Medicago truncatula: one gene and its partner. The main gene of each other region encodes a partner of the protein of the gene in region 2 in a complex. Links are inferred from orthologs where the notes say so. Each region holds a gene or a part of one and is shown on either strand. Other genes may lie near its edges.

The links.
Region 1: the proteins of COP9 signalosome complex subunit 3 (region 2) and COP9 signalosome complex subunit 8 are in contact, whole or in part, in a cryo-EM structure (PDB 9IS6), measured with the Arabidopsis thaliana proteins. The link is inferred for Medicago truncatula from reciprocal best matches to the Arabidopsis thaliana genes COP13 and COP9. Residues at the interface, in NP_568296.1 of Arabidopsis thaliana: Asp121, Leu123, Arg124, Pro128, Ala157, Lys158, Gly193, Leu194, Lys195, Lys332, Glu335, Met336, Leu339, Gln340, Ile342, Gln343, Ala349, Leu350, Ile351, Asn352, Gln353, Lys354, Asp377, Ile380, Gln381, Ile384, Lys388; in NP_193147.1 of Arabidopsis thaliana: Met26, Leu27, Ala30, Ser31, Gly33, Ile34, Glu35, Tyr36, Asp56, Phe60, Arg64, His89, Tyr91, Leu125, Ser128, Ala129, Tyr130, Ser131, Thr132, Ile133, Thr134, Asp137, Phe141, Met166, Arg187, Glu190, Tyr191, His194.

The regions. Positions count from the first base shown.
Region 1 is NC_053043.1:1,164,444-1,171,788, reverse strand, and holds the start of COP9 signalosome complex subunit 8, read right to left. Parts: upstream 3,077-7,345; 5' UTR 2,912-3,076; intron 2,814-2,911; 5' UTR 2,771-2,813; coding exon 2,687-2,770; intron 2,587-2,686; coding exon 2,507-2,586; intron 1,871-2,506; coding exon 1,689-1,870; intron 788-1,688; coding exon 680-787; intron 1-679. Other genes in the region: uncharacterized protein, read right to left, coding at 5,304-5,390. UniProt on the Arabidopsis thaliana protein: Component of the COP9 signalosome complex (CSN), a complex involved in various cellular and developmental processes such as photomorphogenesis and auxin and jasmonate responses.
Region 2 is NC_053047.1:8,387,628-8,395,404, forward strand, and holds the start of COP9 signalosome complex subunit 3, read right to left. Parts: upstream 3,010-7,777; 5' UTR 2,891-3,009; coding exon 2,706-2,890; intron 435-2,705; coding exon 316-434; intron 1-315. UniProt on the Arabidopsis thaliana protein: Component of the COP9 signalosome complex (CSN), a complex involved in various cellular and developmental processes such as photomorphogenesis and auxin and jasmonate responses.

The DNA.
Region 1 (7,345 bases), on a different chromosome or scaffold from region 2:
AACAGTTGGCCTCAAATTCAGCAACTGCTCTCTTTTAAAAAACATACATTTCCAAACCATAGTTTCTACAGTGTCAATACACCCAAAAACAAACCTTAAATCCAAACCCAATAAAGTGAGACACTAATATAAGATTAAACCATTTAAGAGGTTAAAGATTGAGTGCAGAAGCTACGCTAATAAAGATCCAACATATATGTCACTAACAGGACTCTCGGCTATATCTATATGACTTCCATTAATTACATCACATGGTACATGAGGAACCTTTAAAGATTCTCTTATTGCCCATCACATTTTAGCATAAAATTTTGATTCGCTACTCTACACTCTACTAAAAATCCAATTAGTTAGTAGATATATTGACAGTAGAGGCATGGAATACAACAAGGAGAATTGGAATCCACTTTCACTGAATGTGTATCCGAGTGCAAGATTAAAAGGACTATTTTCGGTTCAACGGTCGTCAAGAAAGGATAGGGGCCAAACATTAAAGAGTATCATCTAGTCATGCAGAAATAATGTTGAACATAATCATGTTATAATAAATGCATTGATTGCTTGTAGATGTTATTTAATGTAAAAATAAATATCAGGACAACATTGGTTATGATACAAAAGGTGCTAAAACAAATAGACATGCATTGTTTGATTTAAAAATGAACATAAAATTACTTACAGCTTGTAGCACCATCATCACTCATTCCCAGAAATAAAGCAGCATCTTCAACACTTATTGTAGAATAAGCAGATACAAGAAGCTGAAAAATCTCCTTTGTGTAAAGTTCTGGAAAAAGCATATTGGTGATATTAACTTTTGCACTGTACAACTCATATTTGGAAGAAAAAAAACATATAGATGCAAAAGACTTTTGCAGTCAAACTGCTTAGAAAATAAATTGAAAAGCAAGAAACATACTTATTAAAACAATTGAAGAAGTGGCACATCACTAGTTTACTAAATTTTATGTGATCCGTGGCACCTTCGTCAACATTACATGCTGGCCAAAGAAATTACATTATTCATCAAATTCTTTTTTAGTTATATTTAAAGGGGAAGAGAACATCCAAAAACAAGTGATCAATCACTGTTCTTCCCAGGTTCAAACTATATTACACTTTTTCCATCAAAGTAATTCATCTTTTTGCAATGTTTCCATCCATAACATGCTAAAGCAACATGTAACTATCTTGAACACTATATGCAGTAGTGCAAACAACCAATGATAATTTTTAGTCACTTGTTTCCCTCCATAGTAACATGCCACTATCTTGAACACTAAATACAGTAATGTAAACAACAAACAATACTATGGCAACATGCCACTATCTTGAACACTAAATACAGTAATGTAAACAACCAACAATAATACAGATTCAATAATCAATACATCCATGCTTTAGTGATCGTCCCACACAGAAATGACTTACTTTCTTGATAAAATAGTCTATTGTCAAAATTAACAAGATATAATTGGTTATAATAAAATCAAGGGATACGTTTAGATAAATTAGGGGTCTATGGTTAAATGGTAACAGCTTATACAGTTATAATTTTAAGATATTTAAAGTGAAGATAAATTGAACAGAATCATGCCTTAAATATAGTGAAGATCAAAGAGTTTCTTTCTACATAAATTTCAAAGCTCTGCTAACAAAACAAAATAAAAAAATTCTTAAATGCTTGCCTGAGAAAGCAGAAATGAAGCATTGGAGTTCTGGACTCCACTCAAAACCACGGACCGCCTCATGCACTCCACCATAGTTCCTTAACCAAAGCTGTTGACCAATTTTCCACACAGCATTGACTTCAGGGTTGCTTTCTTTGATTGAGGAAGGTATTGTTTTCCATAGAAAACGAGCACTGTTGCTGCAATATCACAACAGCAAACAGAAAACCTAAAATCTAAAAAGTTACAAAACATAACATATAACCAACTCCATCCCTTTCAAAATACTGGTCCTGTTTGGATAAACAACTTAAATAAACTTCTATAGCATTAGTGCTTCTCATATAAATACTTATGCAAAGCTGTTTCTATAGCATAAAATAAAGTCAAACTATTTTCATATAAGCTATAAGCTATTTCATTTCATAAGCAATCCCGGAGAGCTTATGGAAATAAACTGAAAACAACTTATAGACATGTCTAAGCTATTTTCAATAAGCAATCCTGAACAGCTTATGGAAATAAACTAAAAACAACTTATGGACATGTCATAGGTTGTTTCCATAAATCTACCAAATAGTCACACAAGAGCTTATGTAAGTAAATAAGCTCAAAAAGTGTCGGGCGAGTCTGGCAAATGCCAATGTAAGTAGGTAAACTAAAATAAGTCAATTCTAACGGCACATTGTCAGTTACTATAAAACAAAGATTATAACAGTAGCAATATATCATCCAACATTAAACTAATTTAACTTGAAGCATATAACACTTCCATCTTCATTATTTATTTATATACATGATGAATAATAAAACTAAGAAGAGGGAAAATAGATTACATGTCATGAACATAAAAATGAGCGAGAAGATGAACGGAGTAGGGCCATTCATCGTGAAACGCAACACCGTCGGCAGCAACCTGAGTAAGTATCAACAATCAAGTAAGCAACGAATTACACAAACAAAAAAAAAAAAAAAAAAAAAGCCCTAAGGAAACAGTGAGAGTGAAAGAAACGAACCTGAAGCATGAGATTATCGCAGATATCAGCAATTTTGTCGTAAGATTTGGATTCCAATGCGGTTTTCACTGCTGATAAATCCATTACGTTCTTCTCTCTTCACGGATACTGGTTTCAGATCAAAACCCTAACCGTGTAAATAATCGAATTGGGAAAAATTAAAATCATACCCTAAAAAATGACATGAGAAAACAAAATCTACAAAACCAAACTTTGCATTCATACCTGAATTCGATGCGATGATAGATGAAATTAACCGACCAAACTACAAGCAAGTAAGGTTTTTCTATGTGCGCGATCTTTGTTTATCATTCATCCTAACGACGTCGTTTTTCTCCGTTCAAAGAAAAGCCCAGATAGGCCCGAGAGGGAAGCCCAAGTATTTATGAGAAAATTATTAAAATTTATTTTTAAGTAAGTTATATACAAGATATTTTTAACTAATTTTTAAATCCTATAAATATTTTGTACCAAGATAAAATATTTATTTTATTTAAATTTTAAAAGATAATGTATAAATTAAAATAAATAGTAGTAGTAGATTACTCTCTCCCTCATAAATTATAAGAATTTTTTTTTTTTTTTGAAAAATCAAAATGAAATATTATAACTTCAGCGATGGAAACGCTTTAGTACAAGGTGTACTAAATGTTCCAACCCGGTAAAAACAAACTGTCACAAAGTATAATTATAAGAAAAAGTCGGTCAATACCCAAACAATATAAAGGGTTCGACCACCAATTTTGAGAACCGTACACAAAAGTGGTTTTTTTAGCTTTAAGCCACCACAACGAATGAAATTTAACTTTATCTAACAACTGCTCAATAGGTGTTGCAGTGTTTTTGAACAATTTGTTGTTTCGTTCATTTCACAACAACCAAACACACAACAACCATAATAATTGAAGAAAAGAGCGACACGCCTTTGTATAACCTGAATAATGAATGAATTGGTAGAAGTGCTCACTGACATTATATGTATCAACACCAGTCACTCCAATCCAAGATCTGATAAGTTGCCATAGAGAACCAAAAACATGACAATGTAAGAACAAGTGAGAAGTCGACTCCTCTATATAAATTATAAGAAAATTACCCTAACAGATTTGGCAAAAATACTTTTAAAGGTTTTCAATTGGAGAGTTGAGCTTTCTCTTGCTTTTTATTTTCCTTGAGGGTTTTGCTCTTTGTACACCTTCTCTTTGTACTTTCATTTTCTTTTACTTATATATGATTAGGATGTTGCGGCAGGTGAACCCTCTGCACCCAATCTTTTGCTTTAATATTTATTGATATACAAGTAAATTAGATAGACAAAACGATATAATTTATATATTTCCATAATCACGTGTTTCTTATATCGAGTTGTGAATGTGTGCAAATAACAATAATGGATGAAATCGTAAAAAAAAAACATGGGTGTCTATGTCGAAGAAAGAGTCGTTGTTGTCTTGATGTAATGCAACCAAACTATGTTAGAGAAACTTATCAGAGCAAGGTGAGTGTGAGTGATGAAGGAGCACACGCTAATGTGACACAATACAAATAATGTCAGCAAAACTCAATTTCATTTAAGTATTTCTCATGAAGGAGGGACTATAAGTAGAGCTGCAAGAGCACATAGCAAAATATTTTTTTCATCATTTACTTATAAAAACTATATTAAGAGTTGCAAGAGAAAGATGGGGAGAATGACAAAGGGATTAGATTCGGTGGATCGGGAAAAATATACTAGCCGGGTCAATTGGATGAAGAAAAAAATAGAAATAATATCAACATCTCTTTTTCTTTCCTCTTTCACTCGTTAATTCACATCAAACAATATATTTAATGTACTCCCCCTTGACATCTTTTTCTTTCTTCCCACCATCATCATCCATCCTCACTTTATTCTCACAATCAAACATTAACATAGTAAAGTATACTAGATAACGAGTGTCATGACTCTTAGGAAAAAAGTGATAATAGAATAATTTTATTAAATTGAGTAAGAATAAAAGAAAAAGTGATAAAGTACAAGTTATCATATGAAATGAAGTAACTTATAAACTAATCAAATAAACCATATATTAATCAAAACACATTATAGCCCAAAAAATTAAAGAAATGATTTACATTAAATTCTAATAATCAAATGGATAAAACTTCCAAGGCTCTTTTGAAATGGGACAATTTAAGATGAGGAAACAAAAAGGTTAGAAGATAGAAAGGGGTTTGGGTTGGGAGAGAGCTTTAACAAAAGCCAACCCAGATGCTTCACCCACTAATTGGATTAACTTTACAGTTTGCAAACTGGTCAACAGATTTTTTTTTCTTCCTTACAATGGAAGTAACCAAATAAGAAAGAAGATTATGCAAAAATTCTTATGAGAAAAATGCTTAGTGCCCTGATTTAATATATTTTCCACAAAAACACCCATGACTATGGAGTTAAACAATTTGTTGAGACTCCTTTTTTGATAGCCATTGTAAATTCAATATTTCCTCTAATCAACTATTTTTTTCCTACTCATTTCTTCCTAAAATTAATTGAAGAAATGAGAGTTGAGAGAGAAATCAAGTGAAAATTAAGGACATTGATAGTGTCAACAAGAATTATATGCACTATTCTTCTTCATTAAACACTCAGTCCATCGAATCCACACTGCTTGTAAGTCAGAGATTGCTTTCTTGGACTAATCACTATAGCACAATCCACCGAGACCTGTGAAGTTTAGTTCATGATCAATTGTTAATCTATTGGTAATGCAATGCTTAATTAAAACAATACTGATTAATATCAAGAACATGAAACATAAAGAAAACAGGAAATTGGAGTAAATATTTAAAGTAAAGTTTCATTGCTTAAAATAAAAAAGGAAGATGAGGAGGGGATCAAAATGTATGTTCACGTTAGCAGAAGGATGATGCCATTATTATCACCCCATGTGCCCCACAAAGAGGATAGTCACATGGTGAAGACTTTCTTGGCCTAAAAAGTTTAAACATGTTGGCAGAAGCGTTTGACATTTGTATGCTTCGTTTAAACATATTCTAAACTTGATTTTTGAAGTTAGATAAAACGGGCTTAGTTTAATTTATCCAACATCTTATAGTATCAATGTATATGAAATAAGATTTGAAGACTCTATTGTTATGATATTGATTTTGAGAGAGAGATATGAAAGAAAAAGATTAATCTAAGGGTATAAGCTCACTAAAGGCGAGTTTTAGCATGGGACAATTGTGAAATTATCCCAACTTAGATCAATTTTGTTTTATTTGCTATTACTTGTATAACCTTATATTTGCTGAAGAAAAAAAAACATATTCAATTATAATTTGACTCAAATTAATTTAGTTATGAATATGTTATTTTTTAATCTCCCGTTTAAAAATCTAATACATCCGGCCCATTCTTAATAATCTTTTTAATTTGAAAACAGTCTTAATATTTTTTTTTTTTTAATTTGAAAACATAGACTTGATTAGTTCTGGGATAAAAAAAATATGTTATAAATATATATATATATATATATATATATATATACTACATTATTTATAAATAAATCAATTTAGTTTGTATCTAACTTTGTAATATTAAACCCTACAACAAAACTTTGTAATATTAAGGATTGAATAATTTTTTGGTCCTTATAAATATAGCGAATTTTTTTGAAGAAGTTAAATTACTCCACTCAAATTGACATAGGGAGAATCAAACATGAGACCTTGAGAAGAAACACACTTCAAAATCCCAAGTCAAAGTGACATATTTTTGTCCCTCTAAATTAGCTCACCCAAAATGACATGTTTTTGTCCCTCTAAAACAACACAGCACACAATTTTAATATTAATTAAAAGGGGACTAAAAATTTTGGTTTATAACGAATTTTATTTTTAGTTCTATAAAAATGACATGTTTTTGTCTCTCCAAAATATTTTAGTCCTTATTAAATTAAAATTGATATATTATAATTAAATAGAGCTATAAATTGAAATATAAAATTATAGAATGTACAATTAATAGCAAATAAAACAAAATTGATTTAAGATGGAACAATTTAACAATTGCCCCATGCTAAAACCCGCCCACACTAAATTGTGCTCACATGACTATAGGGAATCTAAATTCAAAGACACCTAAAAGAAGTAGATAAAAATTGCATCATTCACGTACATATTTCTAAAGGAAAACAGCTAAAAAAATGGAGAGAAAATTTAACCATTAGAATGACATTATTGAACTTGTGCGGGCGATAAAGGGTGTTATTTGTTGATAACATGGTGCAGTGGTTGGTTGGTACCCTGGTCTTGGAATCCAGCTTCTAAATCAAGTGGGGCCTAACAATTTTATCATTTCATTTTCACGTTCTAATCATTTCTTACTATTTTGCTATATAAGATGGGTCCTCAACATCAACCTTTCCACTCTCAAATAATACCTTGGTATTTTTGGTTCCCCAATTCCTATTCCACTATGTTTTTCATATAAAAAAAAAATGCAAAGTAAAGTTGTAAACCCTTGAAATTAAATACTTCACTATAGTCATCGGCACACAAAAAAGAGAGTGTAACAACGCCAATAAACTAGCACATTTTAGTCCCAAAAAAACAATATACTAGCACACAATAATGAGGCTATTGGAATGTCTTGCCATTGCCACAATGCTACCCAGA
Region 2 (7,777 bases):
CACAAATAATCCATCCATATTTCAGCATCTTTCCACATCAAGTTGTTTGTTCTTAAAACTTGTACACCCTCCGGTCACTAATATAAGCAAAAAAACTACATTTTAGGTTCATTCATTTAATGATGTATGTGGTCTATAATAAAGACCATGTACATCATTAAATGAATGAATCTAAAATGTAATTTTTTGCTTATATTAGTGACCGGAGGGTGTATATGTTATGGTAAGATGGTGAAACATTATTCTGTGGGTAAATAGTAAACAAGCTCAATAATGCAATATTGAAATCCCAATATTTCAACACAAAGCAAGTACATTTTTCTGGCGCCAACCGAATCTGCTCCACACTGCAAGCATTGATGAATCTTGCTATGATCGGAACTGCCTCTTCAGCTTGCTGCTGATTTGAAACTGAAGCAGCTGAGAATGCATCTCTGTAACCATAAATGTATGTCTCCAATTAAATAAAAACAGAAAAAATAAATTCACTATTCCATAACAAACAAAACAGGCACGTGAACAAGATTTAAGGAACAGTTCAGATAAACTCGAATGCAAGCACTTCTGAAAAAAAATATATCAACAGTTATAAAAATAAAATAAAAAACTTTTTCTTTCTCCTATCTAAGTTCAAATTTTACCCTGCATCTCAATTTTTCAGAAAGTTCCTTAATTAGCTTCTCTATTCACTCCTATAAAGTTATAGTTGTAGCACTCTTCATAATGAAGGTATGTCCGGTGTCCGACACCAGCACGACACCGATGCATATGGTTACATTGAATCACTTTCTTTTTCTCAAATTATGATCAGTGTCTACGTATCAGTGAAATGTGATTCATAGATTATCAATACTTTATCACAAATAAAAGACTACAGATTATTTCAATTCAGAAACACTTGTATTCTAGTATGTAACTCCTTTAAAGTGAGCAATTTAGAGTCTGAGGTAATTATATCAACCATTGATGAAGAATTCAATTGTTAATTTTACATATTACATGCACATGCAACACAAATTACGAGTGTGTTAAAATAACAAGCGCTCATTTTCTTACTTTACTCTCAACTCACTTAAGATGATCCAAATCTTATATACTAAATGTCTGTTTGATTGACTTATTTAAGTTTACCTATTGACATAACCACTTGTTAGACTGTTTCAAAGAGCTTATGAAAACAACTTATAACATATGCATAAGCTATTTTCAACTTACTCCATAAGCTCTCCAAGACAATTCATGAAAACAGCTTATACCTTATATAAAAGCAATTCGGTTTTATCTTATTTTTTGTAAAAGAAATAGCTAATACATAAGCATTTTTATATGATAACTGTTTAAGCTATAAGCGCATAATTAAGTTGTTTATCCAAATTGGGACTAAATTCAAAGGAAATAATTACCACCTAAGCAAAAAAGTGAATATTTGGTTCTAGAGTCCATCAACTAGGGTTTAACATTTAATCCAACAACAATAATGACATGTATATAAGCTAGCTGTTTTCATCTTATTTCCATAAGCTAAGCTTATGAAAACCACATATACCTTATATGGAAACAATTTATCTTTATTTTATAGAAATAACTCATACATAAGCATTTATATGACAAGTTTTATGTTATAATTGCTTAATTAAGATGTTTATCTAAACAATGCCATTTACTAGAAGCCAATAAAAATTAGGACTAAGGGCCTGTTTGGATAAACAACATATTTGCAGCTTAGCCTTAGCGCTTATCATGATAAGCGCTTAAGCATAAGCTACATAAGCTATTTTTATAGCAAAAGATAAAATAAAGTTGAATTGTTTTTGTATATTCTAAAAGATGTTTTCATAAGCTATATTGGAGGCGTGTCCGGTGTGCAACACATGTTGGTGTCCAACACTAACACATGTGATTAGAATCAATTATGCCATTTACACAAATTATCACCGGTGTTGACGTGTTAGTGTCGTCTGAGGTGTACACGTTAGTGGCTTCATAGCTAGAAGCTAATCTAATTGGGTCTAAATTCTAAACAAATAATAACAACCTGCTGAATATTAAAAAAAAAAACTCTATAGAGTCCAGAAACTAGGGTTTTAACATTAAATCAACAACAACAACAATACCTAAAATCTAAGAATATATAGATATATTAAAAAAGAGATTCTATTCTGCTATTATAAAAAAATGAAGGCAAAGTAAGGATTGCTTACTTACGAAGCACAGACACCGGACTCGATACTAACACTTTGATACCCAAAATAATTTGAGAAAATGACATAATTGAATGTAATCGTATGTTTCAATGTCGTATCAGTATAGTGTGGTGTTATATATGACATTCAGTTGTTTATTCATCCAAACAGGTCATGGCAATATTAGAAGGTAATAGAAATTGAGAACTATGTAGCACCGACATTTCCGATGGAAGGCATGTCTGGTGTCCGACACCACTGACGCATGTAATTATATTCAATTAAGTCACTTTTACAGTCAGTGTCGAATCCATGTCAACGTGTCAGGGTCGTATCCAGTGTGTACTTCATAGATTGGTAATAAATTCAAATAAAAAAATAACATCAAAATAAAAGTGAATATTTGGCTTAAGAGTCCAGGAATGGGGTTTAAACATTCAATCAACAATAACAAAAAAAGAAGCTAAAATCTAGTAATTAAAAAGCGATTATAAGAAAGAATAAGATTATTGTGATACGTACAGAAGATAGAGAAAACCGAGAGAATGAATGGAAGGATCAATGAGTTGAAGAATTGGATAGAGACGAGATGAATCGGAACGGAGAGTTTCATCGGAGTGTTTCAAGATGGTATGAAGACGAGCGATGTCGGCGGAGGAGCTTGATAGACCTTGGATTTGTGCGATCAATGGTTCGAGAGGATCCATGGCGGTGATGATTAGGGTTCTGAGTTCTGAGTCGAGTTGATTCGACGAGTAACGAGTGAGTGGGTTTTGAAGGAGGAAAGATGGGAGGTTTTATATATGTGTTGGTTTATGTGTGCCTGTGTGAAAAGGATTTTTATTTTTGAAGTTATACTGCATTTTTCTAAAAAAATAGCAATATTTTTTGTCAAAACAAAGATAAAAAAATGGCAATTTTTAGACTCCTTTCGTCCCAAAATTATTGAGAAGATATCGTGTGTTCCAAGATAGGGGTTATAATCGTAACTTTTTAAAAGATAAGGAGTCAAAAGATCATATTTCCCCTATGTTAAAGGGTCAAAAGATTATATTTCCTTAAATATGGGTCACTTTTGCAATTTTTTTAATAGTGAGCCAAAATCGCAACATTTTAAAACTTAGGAGGCGAAGAGTGCAATTTAACCTATTCTTTTATTATGTGTGATATATATTTTTTTTTATGAAAGAGTGTGTGATACGTATGAAATTTACCGATTACTAGTAATTTTGGTTCCTGAAATAAAGAACAAGTAATGCATCAAAATTTTTAATAGTTTTTGATCGTATATTTTTGTTAGTCAAAATAATCTTTTAATGTTGATATTAACATTTTTCATATATGATTTATATTTTGTTAAAAAATTCTAATTTTTTTTGGAAAGATTTTTACAATTTCCTACACATTTATGCAAAATGTCATTAAAAAATACAAAAATTAACTTAAAAATAAGGATTAAAAGTTGAAGAAATTTCTTATAGGGATTAAAACGAAAAAAAAATTGAGATATTTATAGGGATCAAAAACATATTTAACCTTCTAAAGAATGTATGTCCTAATGTATATTTTTATTGGGTCATACTAACTTATGCCCTAAGGGCACAAGTTAAGGATTAAAAAAAGACATTAAATGCACAATTTTCAAAATTAAGTTTCGACATTTGGCTTTAAATCTATGTATTATGAGCCAAGATATCATTTTCCTTTTTTAATTAGGATTTTTTTTTTTTGGTTTTCGCACCGGTTTCCAACCCACCAAAGGTGGACGACTAATTCGGCTAATGCGTAGAGGCATGTGCATTGGTCAAATATTGTTCTCCTAGGAATCGAACCCGATATTCCCGGGTACGTTCTTCGAATAAGCTCTTTATCACTAGAGCCCAAGGAACTTAATTTTTTTAATTAGGATCTTATTAATAAGTGAATGCATGTGAATACATTGATCACACATATTTTAATAAAAACTTACTATTATAGGTTTTTTTTTTTGCCACAGATAAAAAATTTACTATTAAAGATTTTTTTTTTCCGCTGAGGTTTAAACCTCACGTATATTATCCTGTGTTGTCTGTGTCAACTCTTAAACTCACGATGACGCTATTAAATGTTCACATTGTTAACATTTATACTGCTCCCTCAAAAAAAAAAACAATTTATACTGGTATAAATCAGGAACGGACCCACCGTATACAGCCAAGTGCCCACCGTGTATACGCTGAGAACCCAGAACACAACACACATCAATTTTATTTCTTCTCTCTCACAACAAGAAACAAACCCCGTCAAGGCCTCTCTCTTCTCCACTCTCAGCATCACCTTCAAACCAACCATCTCTCTCGCAGTTCTCACTCACTCTACGTCAAGGTAATCCAATTGATTCTCTAGTTTCTCATTCCTTCACCAATGTCTTGTTTTAGGGTTTTAGAATTGAGAATTGAGAAACTTTTTAGGGTTTTAGAATTGGAGATTGAGAATCGTTAATAGCTTTTCTGAATGCATGGAAATATGCCATAGCTTTTTTGCTACCGCCAAATGCCATATGTTTTTTTTTTTATTAATAATATAATTTGTTCAAAAAAAAGAATTAAGTTCATTGTTATAGAGTTTGGAAAAATTGCTTGTACATGATAATTGCTTATTGAGCATTGTGACTTCTGTGTACAATTGTGGCTAAATGACCGTCTTATAAGTTATAACTTATATAGAAAAAATGTTCTTTTCACAATTAGCATTGATGTTATTTTAGCTCATTTAGCTCATTTTCAACAAATGGATAGTAGACGATTTTTATTGTAATTGTATTGCATCAAACAATGTTAATTCTTGTTGTTAGTATAATCTGCATCATGAAATTTTAGCCACAACAATGTAGAATGTCTGGGTCCACCCCTGGTATCGATGCGTCTCTGTTATGTGTAATATACAAGTGTCTCTGTTATATTTGCTTTGTGATACTTTGTCTTTTGTTTCAAGCTATGAGCAGAAATTTCATTATAATTGAGAGCTATTGCATTAATTTAGTTTACAATTTTTTTTTGTTTTTAGAATTTAATAATTTTTAAAATTGAGTGTTGTGATTTACAAATTGTTTTTGTGGTGATAATTATAGAAGAAAATTCACATCTCAGACTTTAGAGATTTTCATGATCAATGAGAATGTCAATTCTTATTCGCAAAGCAAAAACTTGTAATATATCTTTGCAACTATGTATTTTTTATTTTACGAAATTTGGATATATAAATAGTGACGAGAGATTTTCAATGCATCTTAGTACTAAGTTATTGAGAGAGATACTTGTGTACAAACGAACATGTTATGGTTTTATAACTAATGAAAAATAACATATAGTCATTAATTATTTTTTTAATAAAAATGTAAAGTTAAGATAATGAAATCGGTTCTCCTTATTTTTCTCTTTACCGTTGAAAAAATATTATTGTTTGCACATCAAGTTATGCTCTGCCTACGAAATTATCGTTCAATCAAACTCTATTGATTCCCAGGGGGGTTGATAGAAGGGTTGTTTGGTAGTCAGCGCATGACTTGATTGCAAACAATGATTTTATCAAAGTGACCAAGAGAAATAAGATTAGAACCGATTTTCATTATATTAATTTTACATTTTTATTAAAAAGTTAATGATTGTCATGTTATTATTCGTTTTGTACGCAAGTATTTCTTGTTTGCATAATTCTCATGTAATCGTCATAAACAAATGCATCTGGTGTTGATGTCACCATCGTAACTGGTGGCATCTCCATTGGAGTTGTCTCATATTTTATTGCCTTGTGGAGCGGCGTCGTCGCCTTTACCATTTGGGACTTACCATGAGACATACATTCCTTCCTTTTCTTTTTACCTTTTCTAATTTAGGGTTAAATAAGTTTTTTGTCCTTATACAATTTTCAAATTTTGCTTTTTATTTCCTCTAAATTTTTTATCAAGTTTTAGTCCTAAATATTTTCCATCATAGGCAAACTATCCTATGAAATTTTGAATTACTTTGTGCAATAGAGGGACAAAAAAAATAGGTTCGTCCGACCTATTTTTTAATCAAAAGCATATTCACGTTGAATTGTCCCCCGATTCTAATTGCATTCATAGTTTTGTTACATTTCATGCTAATTATGCTAGAAACTGACTTCTACCTCCCACTCAATTTTTATGAAGTCTTAAAACATAGGACCCTAGCCACTTTCTGCACATAATTTTTGGTTGTGTGTCCACCTTTTTTCCCTCTTTTTTATACGACATTTTCGGATTATACCTAGTCCAATTTGTAAGTGATATACACTCAAACCCTAGCCTTATTTCATTTCCTCTTCCTCATATACATTGCTGCCGCTTTGCTTCTCATTCTCAATCTGTGTCATGTTCTTCTCCCTTCAATCTCTCTCCCCATGCATGTCAAAATTATATACAAGTTTGTTTAATGTAATTTGTTAAAAAAATAATCAAATATCAGTGACCGCTATTTGTCATACGGCTATCCCGCTATCCAAGATTGACTACAAAGATGAAAATTGAAGAGGTTCAGTCGACAACAAAGAAACAGCGTGTTGCTACTCACACTCACATTAAAGGCCTAGGTCTTGAGGTTCGTTCTCTTCTCTTCCTCAATTTAATAAGTTATTTTCTCCGTTTTGTGTTTGTTGTGTGTGAAGCCATACCCTTTTGCTTATTTCTTGCTATGCTCAAAGGTTTGGTCATTGTTCAGGTGAGTGGAAAAGCATTGCCTTTTGCTTCTGGGTTTGTGGGACAAGCTGAGGCAAGAGAAGCGTGTGGCCTTGTGGTCGACATGATACGCCAGAAGAAGATGGCTGGCAAGGCACTCCTTCTCGCTGGGCCCCCGGGAACCGGAAAGACTGCATTAGCACTTGGGATATGTCAGGAGCTTGGGACCAAGGTTCCATTCTGCCCAATGGTTGGTTCCGAAGTATACTCAACGGGGTTCTTATGGAAAATTTTCGACGTGCTATCGGTCTTCGTATTAAGGAAAATAAGGAAGTATATGAAGGCGAGGTCACCGAGCTCTCTCCTGAAGAAACTGAGAGTATAACTGAAGATTATGGTAAAAGTATCAGCCATGTGATAATTGGATTGAAGACAGTCAAAGGAACCAAGCAACTAAAGTTGGACCCCACCATATATGATGCCTTGATCAAGGAAAAGGTTATTCTTTTCTCTTTTTCAAAGGTCATTTTAAATCTATACAAATATTGGTGTCAAACATTCTACAGCTTTGATACAGGTAGCTGTCAGGGATGTTATATATATTGAGGCAAATAGTGGGGCTGTGAAAAGGGTTGGCCGAAGTGATGCTTTTGCTACTGAGTTTGACCTTGAAGCTGAAGAGTATGTTCCACTTCCCAAGGGAGAGGTTCACAAGAAAAAAGAGATTGTTCATTATACTTAGGGTAATGCTTGTTTTAGCGAGAAATAACATCCCGAGTACATCCCGAGCAATGTATTGTGTTGTGTTGTTACTGTAGCGTCTCACTTTTCCATCAAACCACCCATTTTTCCAGCTAAATTAAAATCATACGGTGTGCATGCTTCGTGAAATTTTCGCCTGGTTATTTCTCGCTAGAAA